3 linked regions of the Oryctolagus cuniculus genome follow. The protein of the gene in region 1 interacts with the protein of each later gene in a pairwise test. Links are inferred from orthologs where the notes say so. Each region holds a gene or a part of one and is shown on either strand. Other genes may lie near its edges. The genes, in order: NECAB2, SSC5D and ISCU.

What was found.
Region 2: the proteins of NECAB2 (region 1) and SSC5D interact in binary tests that used the Homo sapiens proteins (3 or more experiments, as listed by UniProt). The two-hybrid records come from large-scale screens. The link is inferred for Oryctolagus cuniculus from reciprocal best matches to the Homo sapiens genes NECAB2 and SSC5D.
Region 3: the proteins of NECAB2 (region 1) and ISCU interact in binary tests that used the Homo sapiens proteins (3 or more experiments, as listed by UniProt). The two-hybrid records come from large-scale screens. The link is inferred for Oryctolagus cuniculus from reciprocal best matches to the Homo sapiens genes NECAB2 and ISCU.

The regions. Positions count from the first base shown.
Region 1 is NC_091449.1:65,753,624-65,760,359, reverse strand, and holds part of NECAB2 (N-terminal EF-hand calcium-binding protein 2), read right to left. Parts: intron 5,289-6,736; coding exon 5,264-5,288; intron 2,080-5,263; coding exon 1,971-2,079; intron 600-1,970; coding exon 574-599; intron 443-573; coding exon 345-442; intron 1-344. UniProt on the Homo sapiens protein: May act as a signaling scaffold protein that senses intracellular calcium.
Region 2 is NC_091449.1:3,473,187-3,480,022, reverse strand, and holds the start of SSC5D (soluble scavenger receptor cysteine-rich domain-containing protein SSC5D), read left to right. Parts: upstream 1-1,957; 5' UTR 1,958-2,485; coding exon 2,486-2,738; intron 2,739-3,201; coding exon 3,202-3,228; intron 3,229-3,455; coding exon 3,456-3,764; intron 3,765-3,961; coding exon 3,962-4,075; intron 4,076-4,269; coding exon 4,270-4,371; intron 4,372-4,686; coding exon 4,687-4,995; intron 4,996-6,226; coding exon 6,227-6,544; intron 6,545-6,836. Other genes in the region: NAT14 (probable N-acetyltransferase 14), read left to right, coding at 411-482, 784-1,332.
Region 3 is NC_091452.1:17,762,277-17,769,112, forward strand, and holds the start of ISCU (iron-sulfur cluster assembly enzyme ISCU), read left to right. Parts: upstream 1-3,399; 5' UTR 3,400-3,489; coding exon 3,490-3,603; intron 3,604-4,673; coding exon 4,674-4,787; intron 4,788-5,428; coding exon 5,429-5,539; intron 5,540-6,836. Other genes in the region: SART3 (squamous cell carcinoma antigen recognized by T-cells 3), read right to left, coding at 1,813-2,130.

The sequences.
Region 1 (6,736 bases):
CCCGGGAGGTGCTGGGCGGGGGGCAGCCGTGCCTGCGCCTCCACAGGGGCTGCAGGACACAGGTCCCTGCTGCCCAGGCCCTCCTGCCTGCCGCCTGCCGCCTGCCCGGGGCCGCCTCCAGGGCCTGCCGTGCCTTCCTGCCCCAGCAGATGTGGGCCCACAGGTCACGGGGTCACCACGGGCGGTTGGGGCTAGCACCTGTCGGGGGACCCCCTCGCCCTCCAGGCCAGGCTGCACCTGGGCGGGAACCTTGCGCTTCCAACCGGACCCTCACAGGCAGGACCACGCCCGGGCTGCTGGGCTCCGTCGGCTCATCCCAGCCCCGGGCCTCGGACCCCGCTGACCTTCTTGGTGTAGCCCATGGCCTTCAGCACCGAGTGGTTCAAGGTCTCCAGCGAGGCCAGGACGTCCTCGTAGTCCCCCATGTGCTCCACGAAGTAATCTGGGGGCGGGAAGCCGAGGTCGGGGGTCATGGGGGGGTTCTGCCCCTCGCCCGCGGCCCCCCAGTCCCGCCTCTGCCCCTCACTGCCTGCACCCCGTCCCACCCCTGTAGGCACAGAGCCAGGCACCTACCACACAGCTCCTTGGTGTCCACGTGGCTGCAGAGAGAGGAGAGGGGTGTGAGTGTGGTGGCCCCACCCCTCCACAGCTGGTGGGGGGGGGGGACCCTGTGCAGCTTGCTAAAGGCTTCCTGCCGCCCTTTGTCTTCCCGTGCACCCCCAGTGCCCGCACCCCGAGGTGGCTCTGTCCAAGTAGGCGTGGCCAGTACCCACTGCCCCAATTTCCCTTCCAAAGGCTTCCGACCTCCTGGGGAACAGTGGGCTCCAAAGGCAGGGCTAGGGCGGGCCCTGGCTGTCCAGGCCGTCCACACAGCTCCTGGAGAACCCAGCTCAGCCCTGCTCCTCACCCCTAGCCCCTGGGCCCCCCTCCCGACAGCGTAGAGGAGGCTGGCGGCACAGGTGCACACAGCGGCATCAGAGGTGCACCGGGCCAGGAACTGGGGACAGAGTGGTGGTACAGGCTCCGGCAACCTCCCCACCATGTGCCCGAGAGCGCAGGGGCCGGCCCACCCGAGTGTGCTAAGCAGAACCCCGGGGCCAGGGCGCGGGGCTGGACGCGGGGCTGTGCGGGCCGCAGACTGGGAGCTCCGAGTTCTGCAGGAGGCGGCCGCGCAGTTCAGCACCCCAGGCAGCTGATGTCCTCGGCTCACACTTGGCCGGACGCCAGAGCCAACAACGCCAAGGTCTTGGCCTGGCCCTTGTGTGCGGTGAGGCCAGCTGTGGCCCTGGCCAGGCTCGCCGTTGCAGGCAGCACCTCCCGCTGCCCCCCATAAAAGCCAGCAAGTGAGGAGGAACCCATCAGGGGGCAGCGCCTGCACCTGCCAGCCCCCACACAGCCACAGGGACCCTCAGAGCCTCTTCTTTAGTGTCCATCCATAGGCGAGGATCCCACTCCACCTGCCCCTTCCCAGTCCGGCCCAGGCCAGCACTGCCTTCGGCCCCTTGCACGTGGCTTGGTGGCGGCTGCTCGTTCCCTCCTGTCTAGCAAGGGACCCCAGATGATCAGACCTGCCCCAGGCAGCCCCCAGGAACTCTGGTGCCCACCATCCGAGCGGGCCTGAGGAGGGGGACCAGGCAAGGACTCTGCCCCTCCACAGAGTGGGGTGGAGGGGGCATAGGCTGTCGGGGGTGGGGATGCACTTGAACTTGAGCCAGGCTGGGGCCCGTGGTGGGTGTGGAGATGCAGGTCAGGGCGAGATGGGCTGGGAGAGGCTAATGAGGCACAGGTGTGGGCGCTGTGGGGCGGGCTGAGCAAGTCCTAAGCGGAGCTTGGTTTAAAACGGGGGCAGCGTTAGGGAGGCTCCGTGTCGCAGGCAGTGGTGGCGGGGGTCTGCAGGGGCGCTAGCCGCGCAGCCACAGCCACACAGGTGTGCGCGGTGCTGATCCACCTGGGGCCCCGGCCTCGCTCACTTGGTGCTGTCGGAGTCGATGGTGTGAAACAGCGACTCCAGCTCCCGCTCGTCCAGCACGCCGTCGGCAAAGAAGAGCTGGAACTCCTCCAGGGACAGCTTCCCGTCATCTGCAGGGAGCGGGCGCGGCCGTGAGGGGCAGCGGGGGCGGTCCCCGGGACCCCGGGACCCCGGGACCCCAGGCCCAGCTAGCAGGCGGGCCCCTGCCGTCCCCCACCCCGCCAGCAATTAACGGTAAACCCCAGTTCACACGGTGTCTCCCACTCATCCAGCAGTGCCGACCCCCACGAAGGCCGACACAGGGCAGCATCGCCGGCTCATGGACCCTGTCCCGGTGTCGGCCCTACCCGGCGCTCAGCCGTCACTCAGTTCACCCCCAAGCACAAGCTGCTTGACCCAGCCCAAGGTCACGGCGCCACAGCAGGGGGGTCCGACCGGGGGTCCGATGAAGCCCCTCGCCCCACACGGCCGCGTGCCGAGATGCTCGTCCTGCCTGTCCATCAACCCCGGCTGGAGGCTGCGGTCCTGGGAATGGGGCAGGGGAGGCAGAGGGGACAGGGCCTGCCTCCTGTCCCTGTCCCCTCTCCTTGTGTCCCCTCCTCCTGTCCTGCCACTTGCTGGTGCTCCGGGCTGGTCTGACTGCTGGTCCCAGCAGGTCCAGCTCAGGCAGGTGGGGCCTCCCCCAGTTCCCCACAGCCAATGCCCTCCCCTGAAGGCGCTAAGGACGCCTCCCTGGGGACAGCCCTGTGTGTGAGGGACAGCGGAGCTCAGGGGGCCGTGCCATTGCCTGAGCACCCACACATGGCTGACCCATGCGGCCAGAGGGGAAGTCACTCTCAGACTTGCCAGTGCGGCTGCCCCTGCCCGAGGAGGAGAGGGAGGGAGCGCAGACCCGACCCGCCTTCGCCACACCTGTTTTCCCCAGCGCTGTGAGACAGGACACACATGGGCGGGAAGGGAGGCTGGGCACGGGTGCGCCTGGGCCCCCACAGCCCGGCTCAAGTTTCAGGGTCACGGGAGGACACAGGACTTATACCTTCCAAAAACAAGACCAAGAATCAAAATCGGGGCCAACACTGTGGCGTAGCAGGTAAAGCTGCCGCCTGCAGTGCCGGCATCCCATATGGGCGCGGGTTCGAGTCCCGGCTGCTCCACTTTCGACCCAGCTCTCTGCTATGGCCTGGGAAGGCAGTAGAAGATGGCCCAGGTCCTTGGGCCCCTGCACCCACGTGGGAGACCCGGAAGAAGCTCCTGGCTTCGGATCAGCACAGCTCTGGTGTTGCAGCCATTTGGAGAGTGAACCAGCAGATGCAAGACCTCTCTCTCTCTCTCTCTCTGCCTCTCCTCTGTGTAACTCTGACTTTCAAATAAATAAATCTTTTTTAAAAAAGAAACCAAAATAATCCCATGTACAAAAGTCCTCAAAACCACCGTGGGAAGTCCAACACCAGCCGTGCGACCTGTGACCTCCAGAGGGGGCTCCGTGCACTGCACAGAACGCGATACTGCCTGCCCCACCCCCACCTCGGCCCAGCATGGTGCGAACAGGCCTCCCCGAGGGCTCACTCCTCGGTCTCCCCAGTGCCAGGACGCAGGTGGTGTTACCACCCCATTTCACAGAGGGGCCGGGGGCTCGCTCCGGTCCCACGGCAGCAGCCTGAGCCCAGGCCGTCTGGCTCGGGCATCTAACCTCGCGACCCCACCCAGGAGCAGGCTTTTGGGGTGGGGCCGCCACCCGCCCCGCACAGCAGGAGTCCCAGCCAGCCCCAGGCTGCCTCCACCTCCTGCCTGCCCTAGCTCCTCTGGGCCCCTGCCCCCACGCTGCCAGGTCACGTGAGTGACATTTACCGGGAACGCGAAGCCCCATCAGCTAATGAAGCAAAAACCACCACCTGCCCAGGGCTCCGTCCAATTAGACAAGACAAGCAGCCAGCACCTGGCGTCAGCAGAGACCCGAGCAGGCCTCTCTCAGATGTCCCTGCTAATGAGCGCGAGCCCAGCCGCCACGCCCACAGCCTGTTAGGCTCAGGGGAGCTGCCGCCTGCCGCTCAGCCGCCCTTCTGGGTTGGCCCCTGGGCCTTCCCTGGGGACTGGCGTCCACCTCGGCCAGCCAAGGCCGTGTCACAAGAGCCCTCATGCCAGGCCAGCCCCCAGCCCCTGCTCCCCTCCAACTCGACCATGCCCCACCCCCGCTCCCCTGCGGCATCGCATCAGACCCCCTGCAGAGGCCGGCGCTGTGGCACTGGGGCACCGCTTGCGACGCCGCCGGCATCCCAGACAGGCACTGGTTCGAGTCCTGGCTGCTCTACTTCCGATCCCGCTCCCTGCTAATGCGCCTGGGAAAGCAGCAGAGGACGGCCCAAGTGCTGGGGCCCCTGCACCCACGGGGAGACCCCGAGGAAGCTCCTGGCTTTGGCCGGGCTCAGTCTGGAGACTGAACCAGCTGATGGGAGATCTCTCCCTCCATCTCCCTCTAATAAATAAATCATAAAAAAAAATTCAAAGAACCTCCCACGGTCCCTGGCCTGTGTCCAGCAGCCCTGGGACCCGTAGGAGCCTGGCCCTCCCCCTGCCCTGTGCCTGCCCCGCTCTGGCCTCCGCCCCCGCATGCACAGCTGCTCCCACTCCCACACCAGTGTTGAGCTCCAGCTGCTGGATCAGACCCCCCCCCCAAAGCCTCCCCTCTGCCGTCAGGAAGTGGGGGTGGGGGGAGACATCCGCGGAGAACCTGCTCAAGTCCTCCCGCCTGGTAAGCACCTGGCACAGCTGGGAGGGGGGGACTCCCTGAGTGCCCCCCCCCCAACAGCGCCAGGCCTCACACCTGCTGCTGCCCAGCTACCGCCCTCCTCCGAGCCCCCAGGGCCTGCCTGTGGTCTCGCAGCTGTGAGCGGCTGAGCCAGGCTCCGTGCACCGAGAGGAGGGGCCCAGGGTGCCCCCCACAGGCCCTGAGCAGAAAAAGCTCTCCCTCATTGTCACCTCCCAGCCACATCAACCCTGGGGACAACGCCCACCCTGCCCCACCTCCACCCAAGAGGAGGAGGAGGAGGTGGAGGGGCAGGCGAGGCCTCTGTGGGGCGCTGTGCTGGGGGCATGCAAATGCAGCTAGGAAGCAGCAGTTAGGACAGCCCCTGCCAGTGCATAAGGGGGCCAGGACTCCCATTTTGCAGACAGACAAACCAAGGCACACAGCACTGCCAGGATCAGGACTCCCGACTTCAGCGTCCTGTGCTCTTGACCTCTAGGTTCTAGGGTGCCCGAGTCTCCCACCCCCGGCAGCCCAGAAAGGCAACTCACCATTTTTGTCCGCGCGGCGGAAAACCTGCAGAGAAGAGAAGCCGCGTCAGCTCCGCCCAGGCCGGGAGGCGCCCTGCAGGGGCTCCTGACCAAGGCTCCGAGGTCCCTCTTCCCCCCAGAGCAGCTCCAGCCTCTCCGGGACCCAGGGGCAGGGAGGGAGGCTGCAGGCAGAGCCCCCACCCCGCCCGCCGCCCCACACCCTCCTGTGGCACCAGCCTGCCCACAGCCATGCTCAGAGCCGGCGTGCGCCTGCACGCTCACACCCACACGCATCCCCGCAGGTGGCCGGCCGCGGCCCTCCCAGCTCGCCCACTGCCCGGCGCTGGGCACGCAGCCACACGGTGCCTCGGAGAGCCCCTCGCTTTACCAACGCTCTCCTTTCAGAACGCCGCGGGGGTCTCCATGGAGGCTGGGAGCCTCGAAGGCGGTGAGGGAGGATCAGCCATGGGCTGGAGGGCGTTATTTTTGGGTGGGGGAGCTGACAGCAGCAGCCCACCCGGAGCACAGACAGGAGACCCCAGCCTGAACTTCGAGACCAGGCGACACCTGCAGGCGCAGGGCAGAGCCATGGATCACCCTACAAGGTGCAGCACGCGCAGGGCCAGAGCCCAGAAGGGGCTCTAACGCCAGGGTCCCTCCCCTTTGGGCACCAAACACCTGGGCGCCGAACGCTAACACCTGCGGCCACGAAGGCCTTGGTGCACCTGCCGCTCCTGGGCACTTGGGAGAAACCCCGAGGGCTGGGCCGCCGAGTCACAGCCCTCATGGTAACCAGGACCCTGGGGAGGCTTCCCAGTGCCCTGCCGCCTGAGAGGGGTCCCGGGGTTGAAAGCAGCCCCCACCTCAGTCCAGCCAAGACGAACTGAGGCCGGGGGAGGGGCACTGACACCCCCAAATTCCCTGCTGTGTTTGCAGGCAGCAGGGGGTCTGAGCAGGACTGGCGCAGCCGCCGTGTCCTCCTTGGCTAACCGGCACTGGGGGTAGGGGGCTGGGATGGCCCCCGGGACCCTGGCACTGTGGCCCAGGCAGCAGCGCCGGGTCTTCAGCCCACCCAGGCCCCCATGGGAGCCAGCCTGGGCCCACGACCCCCGCTCCTGAGTGCCCAAGCTGCCGTGAGGCTGCGGCCTGACCTGGGCATCCCGGAATCTGGCCGAGGTCCGCGTGTGGCCTGGGTGACCGCTGGCTCCAGCCCCTGCCGGGCACCTCTGCCCCGGTCATCTCCCCCTTGGCAGATGAGGGACAGGAGGCTCCCAGCCCGCCCGCACCCCCATCCCGCAGGGTCTTGGGGCCACCAGCTGCGGGTGAGGGGGCAGCCCCCGGTGCTCCGGTGGGTGGGTTCCTCACACTGGGGCTTGCCTTGCCCTGCCCTGCCCGGCCCTCTCCACCTAGACCGGCCTGGGTTCCAGGAGTGTAGAGAGAGGAGGAAGAGACCCCGGACCCCACTCGCCCACCGGGGGAAACGCCACGCCCCTC
Region 2 (6,836 bases), about 62 Mb from region 1:
GTGGCCGAGGCCGGGAGCCCGCGCCCCCGCCCGCCCCGTTCGGCTCTGACGCCACTTCCGCCGGCGACCCCTGCCCGACCCCGCTCCCCCACACCTCGTGTAAGGTGCTCGCGGGTCCTCCTGCGACGCGAGGGGGCGGGAGACGCCTGCAGGGGCGGGGGTGGGGGCCCTCACGGCGGCCCCTGCGTCGGGGAAGGGTCAGGCGCTGCGCAGTGCTGGGGCCCACGGCCGAGCAGCACGGGGCGCGGGAGTCCCGGGGAACATTCGGGGGCGCCGCGGGCCTGAGTGCCCCGGGAAGCGCTGCTGTCCCCCGCACCCCGGCGGGCGGCCACCTGACGCTGATCTGCTTGTGTCCTCGGCAGGTGCACGACGCCAGCTCCCCGCCCGGGGGCGGGCGCCTGGGGGCCGCCATGGCCCCCAGCCACCTGTCCGTGCGGGAGATGAGGGAGGATGAGAGGCCCCTGGTGCTGGAGATGTTAAAGGTGAGCCCGGGGGCGGGGGCCGGGGTTCGCTGGGAGTGGGCTCAGCCGCCCCGAGCGAGTGTCCTCCGAGGCTGCCTCTTCCCTGGGTCCCCCTGGCTCCCGGCTGCCCTCTACCCTTTGCCAGGGGCTGGCAGCAGCTGGCTGCTGGAGGGCGCAGGCTCTGACGGGCAGGGCCACGGACCTGGATGCCCCCGCCCCCAGCTTCTCACCCATGCAGCCCCCACACCGCCTTCCGCTCCCACCTGGGGCCCCTCCCCCGCCACACACAGTGTGATGGACAGCCGAGGACCCCTCTCCACAGGCCGGCGTCAAGGACACGGAGAACCGGGTGGCCCTCCACGTGCTGACGCGGCCCCCGGCCCTGCTCCTCCTGGCCGCGGCCAGCAGCGGCCTGCGCTTGGTCCTGGCCTCCTTCGCCCTGGCCCTCCTGCTGCCGGTGTTCCTGGCCGTGGCTGCCCTGAAGCTGGGCCTGCGAGCCCGCTGGGGCTCGCTGCCTCCCCCGGGCGGCCTGGGGGGGCCCTGGGTGGCCGTGCGCGGCTCCGGCGACGTGTGCGGGGTCCTGGCCCTGGCCCCCGGCACCAGTGCAGGGGACGGAGCCCGCGTCACCCGCCTTTCTGTCTCCCGCTGGCACCGGCGCCAAGGCGTGGGCAGAAGGCTGCTGGCATTCGCCGAGTCCCGGGCTCGGGCCTGGGCTGGGGGTATGGGGGAGACGCGCGCCCGGCTGGTCGTCCCCGTGGCCGTGGCCGCCTGGGGCGTGGCCAGCATGCTAGAGGGCTGCGGCTACCAGGCAGAGGGTGGCTGGGGCTGCATGGGCTACGCGCTCGTGAGGGACTTCTGCAAGGACCTGTGACCCCCACCCCTGAGTGTCCCCGTGGCCACCGGGAGGATGGGGCGGGGCTGGAAGGTGGCGCCCGCTGCATGCCCGGTGCCCCGTGCGTGACTCCCCAGCACACCTGGGGCTCGGCCGCCGGTCTGTCCGCGTGGTGTCTGGGGGGGTCTGCACTTCTCAGGAATCCCTCTTCCCTCGTGGCTCCTGGGCCACCAGAGGTCACGGACCCACCCCCGCCCCCAGCCCAGGGGCACCTGTGTCCCCAGCCTGCCCCGCCCTCCAGGAAGGGACACCTAGCGGAGTTGGGAGCTGCACAGGACACGGCCAGAGGGGACAGGGCCTCCCGGGGAGAGGGGTGGGGGACACGAGGTGCTGTGGGCAGCGGGCACCCGGCCGCGGCTGGGGAGCTGCGAGGGGCCGCGGCTCTTCCTCCGGACCCAGCCATCTGGTTTCCTACACTGTTTGTTAATAAAGCCCGAAGTGGCCTCCTCTCTCTGATGCCTTTTCCAGTCTGTCTCTGGACCCCCGCCTCCGCCCCCCCCCCCCAGCTTCTGTCTGGCTCCTCCTTCCCCCGAGTTGACATTAATTGTGGGTGTCTGGGGGGAGCGGGGAGGCGGTGAGCTCACAGCAGCCCCGGTCCCTGCCAGTCTCTGAGTCACGCTCCCCATGACTGCATTTTTTCCAGCTCACAGCTGCCTGGTGCAGGGGACGTGTGTGTGTGTGTGTGAGTGTGAGTGTGAGTGCGAGGAGTCTGCGGAGCCCCCTTCCCGCCCCCTCCCCACTCCGGTTCAACGCCTCCGGCCTCAGATGGCCGTCTGAGGGGGTTCACGTTCAATCCCGCCGATGAGGAATGAGGGAGGGAATGGACGGAGCAGTTTTCCATTCTGCTCCCTCTAATCCAGGAAGTCCCTCCTGGTGTCTGGCTACAGGCCCTCTTGCTACCGCTCCCGGAGTCCCAGATCTGCCTGGCCCCTGACCCCAGCAGGGGTCAGAGCCCACTCCCCAGAAGGTCAAGGGAGGAGGCAGGAGAGTGGGTGCCCCGCCCGCGCCCCACGCGTGCACCCGCCTTGCCCCTGCCCGGCAGCCTGCCGTCCCTCGGCTTGGGCCTGCCTGGCCGTCTGCGTGTGGGTGTTAGCCGTTCACCCTCCCCCCGCCCGCCACCCCCCTCCTCCCCATGCCGGAGCCGCTCGCCAGCCCCCTCCCGCCCTCCGGTCCCCTGCCGCCTCCCTGCAGCCTCTCTTCCTCCTGGTGGAGCCTTGGGCCCCTGCCTGCTCCTCCGCGGGTCCGGGCGCCTCCGGCCGGCGCTCCCTCCCTCGCCTCCGCCCTCGCTTGGCTGCCGCCTGCTCCCCTCTCCTGCCCTCCTTCCCCTGTCGCCCCATCCCCTCCCCCGGACTCTGCAAACATGAGGGTCCTGGCCTGCCTCCTCGGTGAGTGACCCTTCCCCTGGGGACTCAGGGGATCCGGGCCCCCACCTCTGACCCCTTAGCACGTCCAGTTTAGGGACTGGGGCTTCCGGGAACCCAGTCCTTGGTGCCTCCAGATAGCCTGGCCACTGGCTGCCCTGCCCGGCCCCTCGGGGACTCAGCCTCCTGAGAACAGAAGGGGCCTGGCCCAAGCCCTGGTCCTGTGGAGGTCACGGGCCATCTGACCTTTGGCCAAGCAGAGCCCCAGGTGCCCAGCCCTGGCCCCAGGCCAGGCGTCCGAGCCCCACCCGTCTCAGGCTTGGTGGCCCTCTGCCCGGGCTCTGGCTCCCAGCTCCCAGCGTGGGTTTCTGGGTCAGAGGCGTGGCTGCTCCGAGAGTGAGTGTGCGTGTGTGTGTGTTTCGGGGTATTCGGGATGAGGCGGGACCCCCGGGGCCTGCCTCTCACGCTGTCCCCCAACCTCTTGCAGTGGTGCTGCTTGGGGTTCGGGCCATTGGTAAGTCCCAGACACTCTCCCCGCAGCTCCACGCCTCCCCGGGTCCAGGCCTGGCCTCCCGCTCCTGCTGGGGGTACCCCCGTTCCACCATGACCAGCACCACTGGGCACCCCAAAGTCTGGCCCCGGCCCCCCGACTGCACCCCACAGGACAGCCTGCACCCCCTACCATCACTCTGACCCCAGACCTCAGGGATGGTCACAGCCTCTCCTCTGCCCCCCAACCAGAGCGGCTGCGCCTGGCCGACGGCCCCCACGGCTGCGCCGGCCGCCTGGAGGTCCGGCACAGCGGGCGCTGGGGCACGGTGTGTGACGACGGGTGGGACCTGCGCGACGCCGCCGTGGCCTGCCGGGAGCTGGGCTGCGGGGGGGCGCTGGCTGCCCCCGGGGGCGCCTTCTTCGGGGAGGGCGCAGGCCCCGTGTGGCTCAGCGAGCTGGCCTGCCGCGGCGGCGAGGGGCACCTGGGCCTCTGCCCCCACCGCGGCTGGAAGGCCCACATCTGCAGCCACGAGGAGGACGCGGGCCTCGTCTGTGCAGGTGAGCGAGCAACCGCCGGAGGCTCCCAGCCCCCGGTCCCCTCCAGAGCCAGGTCTCGCCCTCCATCTGGGACCCCCAACTTAAACCGCTCCTGAGCCCCAGACCCCCCACCCCGTATTTCAGCCCCTGCCCATCTCCCTGGGGACCCCCATGAGCCCTCCGCCCCGGCCACCCTCCTCTCAACCTCTCTCCTGCAGGTCAGCGCGTGGCCGATTCAAGGGACGAATCACCTCCCGCCCCGGACGGGGACCCCTGGCTGGGGCTGCCTGGGGAGCTGAGCCCCAGCTCCGAGGAGCCCCCTGTGACTCATGGTGCGCCCGGAGGACCCCCACCCCGGCTCCACCTCCTGCTTCAGCTGTGGGGGAGGGGACGCACAGGTCCCCAGGCTGGCTCTCCTGGCCCAGGGCGTCCTCTGGCACTGTGGCCCTTGAGAGGGGGCTCCTGGTCCTGTGTGGGGGGACGGGCGGCAGCCCTGCCCCTGACCTCCTGCTGTCTCCCCTCCCAGCCCCCCGCCTGGCCGGAAGCCCCCGGAAGAAGAGCCCCCGGCCACCCAAGCAGGTCAAGTCCACCAGGGCCCCTTTGCTGACGGCTGGGGCCCCCCGACAAGGTGGGTGCCCTGCAGACATGACCTGCACACTGTGAGAGCCCAGGCCCACCGCGCGGGGCCCCGCCTCGGAGCCGCCCCTCCCTGGGACTCAGGGGCCAGCCTGGTCTCCCCTCTTCTTGCCGTCCCTGACGCCTGCCCCATCAGGGATCCTGCCTCAAAGATGGTGGCTATTTCCCCCGAAGGGGCCGGGGGGAAGGCGGACCTCAGACCAGTGCCCGCTCCGGGCCTCGGTTTCCCAGGAGGGGGCTGACTGCTTCTCCTGAGCTGTGGTCAGACCCCTCACGGCCCCTCCCTCCCACCCGTGCCCCCCTCCAGAGCGGCTGCGCCTGGTCTCAGGCCCCCACAGCTGCGCCGGCCGCCTGGAGGTGTTGCATGGCGGGCGCTGGGGCACCGTGTGTGACGACGGGTGGGACCTGCGCGACGCCGCCGTGGCCTGCCGGGAGCTGGGCTGCGGGGCCGCGCTGGCCGCCCCCGGGGGCGCCAGGTTCGGGCCGGGCGCGGGGCCCGTGTGGATGGACGACGTGGGGTGTGGAGGAGGAGAGCAGACCCTACGGGACTGTCCCCGGAGCCCCTGGGGCCGGAGCAACTGTGACCACAGTGAGGACGCCGGGCTGGTGTGCACGGGTAGGTGAGGCTGGCCCCTCCCCCACCTGCAGTCAGGGCCCCCGGGGAAAGGTGCTGGGGCCGGCCACAGTGAGGACGCCGGGCTGGTGTGCACGGGTAGGTGAGGCTGCCCCTCCCCCACCTGCAGTCAGGGCCCCCGGGGAAAGGTGCTGGGGCCGGAGCCGGGGCTCCGCTGCAGGGCCAGGGCTCTGCCAGGGCCAGGGCTCTGCCAGCGTTCCGGATGGAGCCGTAAGGCTAGGAGTGCCCTCCTCAGGGGTTCCCCCAGGGCGAGGAGGCAGGGAGCTGAGGCGGAGGGGGAGGAGTGACCTGGGGGCCGTGATGCCGGAGCAGGGCTCTGCTTCCTGCCGGGGGCTCCTGCCCTCCCTGTTCCTCTGGGACCTGGGATGGGGCCTCCCAGGAGAGCCCCGGGGTGCACCTGCCTGCCCTCCCCCCTTCCCTTCCCATTCCTCCTTCCTTCCACATACGTCCTGCACCGGAAGCCCAGGCAGGCCTCCTGCTCCTGGGCTCCTTAGGCTGCAGGAGCCGCGAGGCTGGCCGACTGCCCCAGTTGCTGCAGGTCTACATGGCCCCAGCTTGCCTTGTGCCAAGCGGACGGCGGGCAGGCACCGTGTCCCCGTCCTCCCGAGCCTCCTGGGGGCCCCACGACATGGACTCGGGCCCCTCTCCCTTCCCAGATGGGGAAACCGAGGCTCCTACAGGGGGCGCTGTGAGCCCCACACCCAGAGCCGAGCAGAGTGGCACACGGGGGTGGGGGGGATGGGCTGTGCACCCAGTGGTTGGAGGGGGAGCAGGCTGCAGAGACGCTTGCTGCGAGGGCCAGGTGGGTGGGTGGGTGGTGTGGAAGGCCGGCCGGGCGGAAGCTAGGCCTTCCGAGGGGAGCTCGCTCGGGGTAAGCCGAGGTTCAGAGTAGAGGGGAGGTTTTCCCAGAAGAGCAAGAATGCGCCCTGGGGTTAGAGTCTTGCCCACGGGGGCGCTCCGAGGGGGTCTCCCCCTCCCACCTGTGGTTGTCACAGCTTGGGGACTTCTGCGCAGGGCCGTCCCCCACAGGCACGCGGGGCCACCCAGTGACTTCCCACCTCCCAGCTCCCGCTCCTCTGCAGCCTGCAGGTGGAGGACCTGTTTCCCTGTGGCCTCTGGGATGGGGGCAGGGGGCTGTGCCCCTGCCCGGGTCCCAGCCCCCGGCTGTGGATTCCTGCACGCAGCTCACCTGTCTCTCTGTGCCCCCATCCAGGCCCGGCCCCCAGGCTGCGCCTGGCCGACGGCCCCCACGGCTGCGCCGGCCGCCTAGAAGTGTTGCACGGTGGGCGCTGGGGCACCGTGTGTGACGACGCCTGGGACCTGCGTGACGCCGCCGTGGCCTGCCGGGAGCTGGGCTGCGGGGGGGCGCTGGCCGCCCCCGGGGGCGCCTTCTTCGGGGAGGGCGCTGGCCCCATCATCCTGGACGACCTTCGGTGTCGGGGAAACGAGACGGCGTTGCGATTCTGCCCGGCGCGGCCCTGGGGCCAGCATGACTGTCACCATCGTGAGGATGCGGGGGCTGTGTGTGATGGTGAGGGGGCGTGGCAGTGGGGTGGGGGGTTCTTGTCCTTCTGCGCCCGTGCCCTCTCCAAGCTTCCACCCTGAGCCCCCACACGATGGCCCCACGTCGGCGGGTCTCAGCCACACCGGCACTGGCACCGTCTGGTGACATCTGGGAGGGTCACCAGGGAGGAGCTACTGGTGCCTCGTGGGCAGGGCCCGGGGCTGCTGCCCAGCAGACTTCGGGGCCTGGGAAGCCCCCAGGATGGAGTGCTCTGGCCCCAGGTGGGAAAACAGTGCTGGCCTGTCGCAGCCTTTGCTGC
Region 3 (6,836 bases), on another chromosome or scaffold:
GCAGGTACCACAGTAAATAGCAGTTTTCAGGGCTGATGCTGTGGCGTAGTGGGTAAAGCTGCCGTCTGCAGTGCCAGCATCTCATGTGGGTGTAGTTCTAGACCCGGCTGCTCCACTTCTGATCCAGCTCCCTACTGATTGCCTGGGAAAGCAGTGGAGGATGGCCCAAGTGGTTGGGCCTCTGGACCCACATGGGAGACCCGGAAGAGGCACCTGGCTCCTGGCTTCGGATCAGCCCAGCTCTGGCCATTGCAGCCATTTAGGGAGTGAACCAATGGATGGAAGACCTCCCCCCACCCCACCCCTGCCTCTCCGTAATTCTGTCTTTAAAAAAAAATAAATAAACCTTTTAAAAAAATAACAGCTTTCATAAAATACACTCAGGGAGGAGAGCCAGAACTCACAAGCAGAGCCAGCAAGTGCTAAGGGGTCTATCTCACGCTACAGGTAATTACGGCCCCAACAGCAAGGCAGTTAGGAAAACGAGGGGCCGGGGGGTCAGAATGAGGAAGGGGAGAGGGTTGGAAAAACTGGCAAAGTTCATTTCCGAAGCCGGAGGCCTCGTCAGCTCAGACCACCTGCCAGGCCCCAGCTTGTGGGCCTTCCACACCCACCCTGGGCGGCCTGAGGCCGGACGGGCAACCGCTGTGCACCAGCAACAGGAGGCGCGGCCTCTGACCCCTCCTCCGCCCCCAGGGAGCTGAGCAGCCTCGCCCTGGTGTCAAGACGCCCCTCCTGCTAAAACAGGGGGCCCCGCCGCCCCAGCTCGTGGAGGAGTGCAGTCAAGCACCAGGGCCAGCAGTCGGAGGGCGGGAACACAGCCCGCGCGGCGCCCGGGTCGCCCTGTATTCGCTGCATCAGACACCTGCGCTTCCGCATACCAAAACCAGTGGCCGTTTCTACTGACCAGAAATGGAGCCACTGGTTCCTCTGGGAACAGCTCCCGGGCACGGATCGCACTGCTATCCAGGGCTTAAAAAAAACATCAGTGCTAGGGAGGCATCCCAACCAAGCGACCCCGGGCGGGGCTGAGTGAGAACCTGGGTGAGCAGCCTCACACCCCCGAGCCGGCCAGGGTCCAAACCCCACTCTGAGCGACTTGGAGCAAAGCCTCGGCTTCTTCCCGCCTCGCTGGCGCCCCACGCTCCCCACCCTGCCCCGGGCCCCCCAGCACCGGGCGCCCAGTGGGGGTTTGCCCAGCAGGACGCCCCAGCAGAAGCTCGGAGGGAGGGGAAAGGTTAGCGTACCGCTTCCCCCATCCCAACCTCTGCTGTGACACTGAGCGTGCACCAACGACCGAAGCTCTCAGCACATCTCGGGAGCTCTTTGCACACAACCATCGACGGGACCGGTCACTCCCTACACCCCCTCGGGGCTGGACACAACGTTTCCCAACCGGCAGACGGGGCAGCCCGGGCCAGGGGCGTTAAGCACTCCGCCCAAGCTACCAAAAGCGGGGCAAACCTCTGTCCCCCTTTCCGCGCCCGCGACCACCGTCTCAACCGCTATCTTCCCTCCCCCGCTGCGCTGGACCCCCGTTACCATGCCCACAGGAAAAGGACTCCATCCTAACAAGACCCAACTTTACCCGGGCGGTTCCGAGCGGCTCAAAGTACCGGCGGCCCGACCCGTCCTCGGCCTCCGGCGTGAAGCGGCGCTAGCACCGCTCCCGTCACCGAGCCTCCACCGGGCAACGCCTGCGAAGCACCAGGGCCGCAGGCGGCGATCCAGGACCGCAGCTGCGGGGATGCCCGGCGGCCTGCCGGCTTTCGCGACCGCGGGGCGGGCCGGGGCCCCGGAGCGAGGGCCCACCTGCTCCTCCAGCCGCTCGATCTCCAGCTGGTTCTTCTCGTCCTCTTCGTCGTACTCCCATTCGTACTCCCCGGGGGAGCTCTCCGCCGAGGAGGCCATGGCGTACTCCTCATCCCCATCGCTCTCGCTCATGCCTTCCTCTTGCGGCTGGTCCCACCCTGGCCCCATGGTCTTGGACGTCGCAGCGGCCACAGCCCGCGACAACACCTTCCTCCTCGTCCTGGCCGCCTTGACCTCATCCTCCTCTCCCTCGGCCTGGGGCCCGGCCTGGGGCTCGGCCTCGGGTTCCGAAGCCGAAGATGCAGCCGCCGTCGCCATCTTGCGCTTCAGGGACTCCCGGGTCTTCCCTCGGCCGCCGAAGACCCGGCTGAGGGCGAGGCTGCCCGCGGCGCGCGCCTGACCAAAACCCCCGCTTTCTTGCCACCGAAAGGGAAACTGGGAGCCTCAGAGGACAAGAAAACAGACAAAAGTACGCAGTTCGTATTATTTTAATATACTTTCAGAAACCTCCGGCGAAGAAAAGGCTCCTTAATATGACAGGTCTTCCGGCACAACTCCGGACAGAAGTTGGGTCTTTGGACAGGAAGTGGCGGCCATAGAGGAAGTCGTGGAGTGAGCGTGGTGTCTGCAGTGACGGGCTTGGCGCCATCTTGAGAAGGTCAAAGGATTCCTGTAAATAAATGTTTTCTTAAAGCCTAGCCGGACTCGGAGCGGAGCTCGGTCTCCCAGCAACTGAGGCTCAAACGCTAAGAAAACAAATCCTCCGGGAAGGATCGACTGCACCATTCACGGGACAAACTCACTTCCCTAAGAGAGCCTCCCTTTCTATGCAATGCCTCGTACCTGGTAGACGTTAAGTGTTTGAATTTTCCAATTTTATCACATCGCCTTATGCAAGCCAGCATCAATAGAGTCCATGAATAAACATGTCTTTAGTGGCTCCTCATTGCCATGCCTTGTCCTATAAATTAGGAGTTTGCTGTTCTGTAAGGAGATCTCAACAGAGATACAATCTAGACATTGTTTGGAAAATAAGGGATTGGTGTTTGATTCCTCCTTAAGAAGCGTCCCATTTTTGAGGTAGGGAAATATTGGTGTGTGTGCGTGTGTGTTCATTCACTGCCTTTCTCCCTCATTACCAAGCGTAAAGGGACCAGAACGGTGGGGTTTGCTTTCCGTGCAAATCCTCCACTCTGTCTAGCGCCGGCACTTAATATGTATTTGCCGCGTGGCTAAAACAATTGTCCTAGAATTACCACGGATTACGCTTGGTGAACTGGCACCAGCCGCCCAGGGCGCACAGCCGGGGAGGGGCGGATCCCGGAGCTGGGGTCACCAATTGTCCCCACTGAGCCTAGGTCTCCGCGCGAGCACTCTGAGCCTCAATGGCGCACTGCAAAGTTGTACCGGGTCCGCCTCTAGAATGCGGCCTTGCACCCTCTCAGCCCGGCCGCCGCGGAATCCCCAGACCCCAACCCAGACCCCAACGCCCCGCAGCAAGCCCTCCCGCGCTTCCCACGCCCCGCCCCCGAGGGGCGTGGCCAAGGCGAGGCCACAGCGCGGACGCGCGCACGGAGTGGGCGGGCGCAGGCGCGCTGACGTCAGCCCGACTCGCACGCGCGCGCGCGCCCCGCCCCTCGGCGTCGCTCTGGGGCGGCTCAGGGGCTCGCCGGAGAGATGGCGGCGGCTGGAGCTGGCCGTCTGCGGAGAGCGGCGTCGGCCCTGCTGCTGCGGAGCCCGCGCCTGCCCGCCCGGGAGCTGTCCGCTCCGGCCCGGCTCTATCACAAGAAGGTAGGGGCGAGCCTAGGGGTGCGCGAGCGGCCGAGGGCACCCAGGCGTCCCCGGATCCCAGCCGACACTTCCGTCCACGGCAGGTGGAAGTGGCCGAGGCAGCAGGGGCCATCGGCGCCCGCTCCTCCGCCCACTTCCCCTCGCTGCGCGGTGACGGGAACGGCTGATGGATAAACGCAGCTCAGCAGGCGGCTCCCGGTTGCTTCCCCTCCGTTGCCCACGGCCCTGGGCGGGGATCCTGTGCGCTTGGCCTTCGGAGTCGAGGACACACACAGCCCGGCGCGGGCTCGGGCCACTGCCCGGGCCAGGTGACCTTGGGCCAGTCGCCGCCGCACTCCGACCCTGTTCCCGCGGCTCCCCAGCAGGAGAGAGTGAGCGTGGGGTCCTAGGCACGCGCTGTCGCGGTGGCGGGGTCGCTGCACCTGCTCGGGGTTCGCTTTTGCCTCTTGGCGAGGGAGGGAGAGCGAGCCGTGGCTGACAGCCGCTGGCCGCGTCCCCGGGGGCGTAAAGACCCCGACGTGTGCGCCTGCCTCTGTAGGGAAGCAGCTAAAAACCACGCAGTAACTCAGAACGGAGTCTGGAGTAGACGTGGTTCTCTCGGGAGGCCTCGGGTGGGATGTGGGGCGGGGGCTGGCTGCTTCGTGGGCTCGGGGCTCCGGTGGCATTTTGTTGACATTTTGTGCAGAAGGGACGCGGGCTCGCGCTAGGGGGCGCGGCTGCTCCGGGTGATGGCATTGCCCGGCGCTGTTTTGTTTATTATTATTTTAGCACCTCTGGTAGATAGCATTGTGCGTTCTGCAGCGGCCCCCCCCCCCCCCCGGAGGCTTCCGAGAAAGCCTTGTGGCCCTGGGCTATGAGTGGTGTTTTTTACAGTTTTGAATGGTGATCCGTCTCCTTGGAGAGTGGATTTTATTGGGGGGAAGAGGAGCCTGTGACACAGAGGGCCCTCGTTGATGCGAATGTAGGCTCTCTCTCTCCCCCACGGGAGACGTGTTCAGTGGGCGCCTGCCCGGGGCGGGGTGCTGACGTCATGGGGAGAACGTGGCGATTTCCCGACTTTCTCATTTCAGGTTGTGGATCACTATGAAAACCCCAGAAACGTGGGGTCCCTTGACAAGACGTCCAAAAATGTCGGCACTGGCCTCGTGGGGGCCCCCGCTTGTGGGGATGTCATGAAGTTGCAGGTACGGGTCCGGACGGGCCGGGCAGCTCCCCGCTCTCGCCGCGTTCCGTTTGGTTCTGGGAGGAGGCCTGTCGTAACGGATTGAGCAGGGACTCCTTCCTACTGCTGTCCTGCAGTGCAGATCTTTTCTGGAGGAGGGAGCTGACTTCACGTTCCACCTCGCTGCGTCAGCCTAGACTCCAAGTTAGCCAGCTGGAAGGGTCTGTGAATTTTGCTGATCCAAGGGAAACCGTGTGCCCAAATCGGAAGCGTCCTGCAGGCAGCCGCTGGCACTTGGGTTACAGCAGCTGTACCCTGGACCTCCCTCCTCATGGGCTGGGAAGCCCACCAGAGACCTCACATGCCTAGGAACACAGAGACAGGGCAGGAGGGGGCCCCTCAGTGCAGTGGGTGCCCGCAGGAGACTCGCACTGGAAACCCTCTGCTGTCTGGAGCAGCAGCTGCCCAGCAGCGGTGGGCCGACTTCCTCCCAGCCCCGAGCAGGCCGGGGCGGCAGCGAGGCCTGGGCGCTGGCCCCGGCAGCCCCTGCGTCATCCCTGGTCTCGGAAGCAGCCGGTACCCAGCACCTTCACTCGCAGCGTGGACGGCGAGCCCGGAGCTCTGGGGGAGACCCGGGAGTCACCTCCTCTCTCTTTCCTCCAGATCCAGGTGGATGAGAAGGGGAAGATTGTGGACGCCCGGTTTAAGACCTTCGGCTGCGGCTCTGCGATCGCCTCCAGCTCCTTAGCCACCGAGTGGGTGAAAGGGAAGACGGTAAGGCTGGGGCTCCTTGGCCCTCTGGCAGCACCGCCTGCAGCCTGCCTCTCGGAGGGGCAGGTGTGGCCGAGAGGAACAACACGTCACGAGGTCATTCGCAAATGCTACCCGCACAGTGTTATTTCAGTCCCCCCTCCCTAAAGGTTGACCCCAGCCTGCTCCACACTGTGTCGGGCGGTGTGTGGATGTTTTGTTGTTGATCACTTTTCCCTGGGTGTTTGGGGGCTGTATCGGCTGTCAACATCACTGCGGCAAAAAAAAATCCAGGACTAGCTACTTAGGAAGAGAAGAGAGGTTGATTTTGCCTCCAGTCTGCAGGTCCAGGTCCAGGGCTGGGCAGCCCCACGGAGCCAGCCATGTGGTGCGGCAGGAGCAGGGCAGTGGTGCTCGGAGGCCGCCTCACACTGAGCCAGGAAGCAGAGGGCGTGGCTGGGCCAGCTGGGCTTTTGCTGCCAACCCTTGTGAGCACCACCTCCAGGGCACGGCCCCAGGGACCCAAGGAGGAAGGGCCTCCTGCTGGTGCCACCGCCTAAGCCCCATAGCGGCAGGAGTAAGGACTCGGAAACACAGGGGGTGAGGGCAGGGTCAGCCCCGGGAGCAGTGGTGCGGTGGCTGCCGCAGGCTTCCGGGAGAGGTGAGGAGGGCTGGCGCACCTCCTCCCTCCTCTCTGCAAAGCCCCCTTCCCCAGCGGCCGCAGCGGGGGGAGGGCCCCCGTCACCCTGACAACCTCTCGGAAGCCAGCCCGCAGGGACACGGGCCAGGGAGCCAAGTCTTAGGAGCAGTCGTGCAGTGCTGGCCAGGCCACGTGCCACCTGCAGCCTCTGGCCCGGCCTCGGCTGGCAAACTCCGTTGGCGAAGGGAGCACTCACCTGACCTGCTCTGGCCTCACGTGGCCCCCATGTGATTTGTCAGCAGGGACTCTCAGGTTCAGCACTGAGACAGGGCCCCTGGGCTCAGGGTCCTGGCCATTAGCAGGCTCCGAGCTATGAGCGAAAGCGGGCACAGGCCTTTCTTTAACTTGAGATTCCACCCCCCACCCCCGACCACCAGGGTTCCCAAGGCACTGGGGCTGTGTTCCCCCAGGCAAGCTCCTGCCCACCTCACTTGGTGCCCGGGGCTGCCCCAGGGGGAGCAGGGGGCAGTCCTGCAGGCAGAGGGGTTGTCTGCAGAGAGCTCCCGGCCCTGGGCCTGCAAAACCAGCAAAGAAAACCAAAAGAAAAGGCCGACCCCTGTTGCTGTCTCACACAGGCCCCTAAGAGGCTCCTCACGGATTCTGCTCCTGGCAGAATCCCGG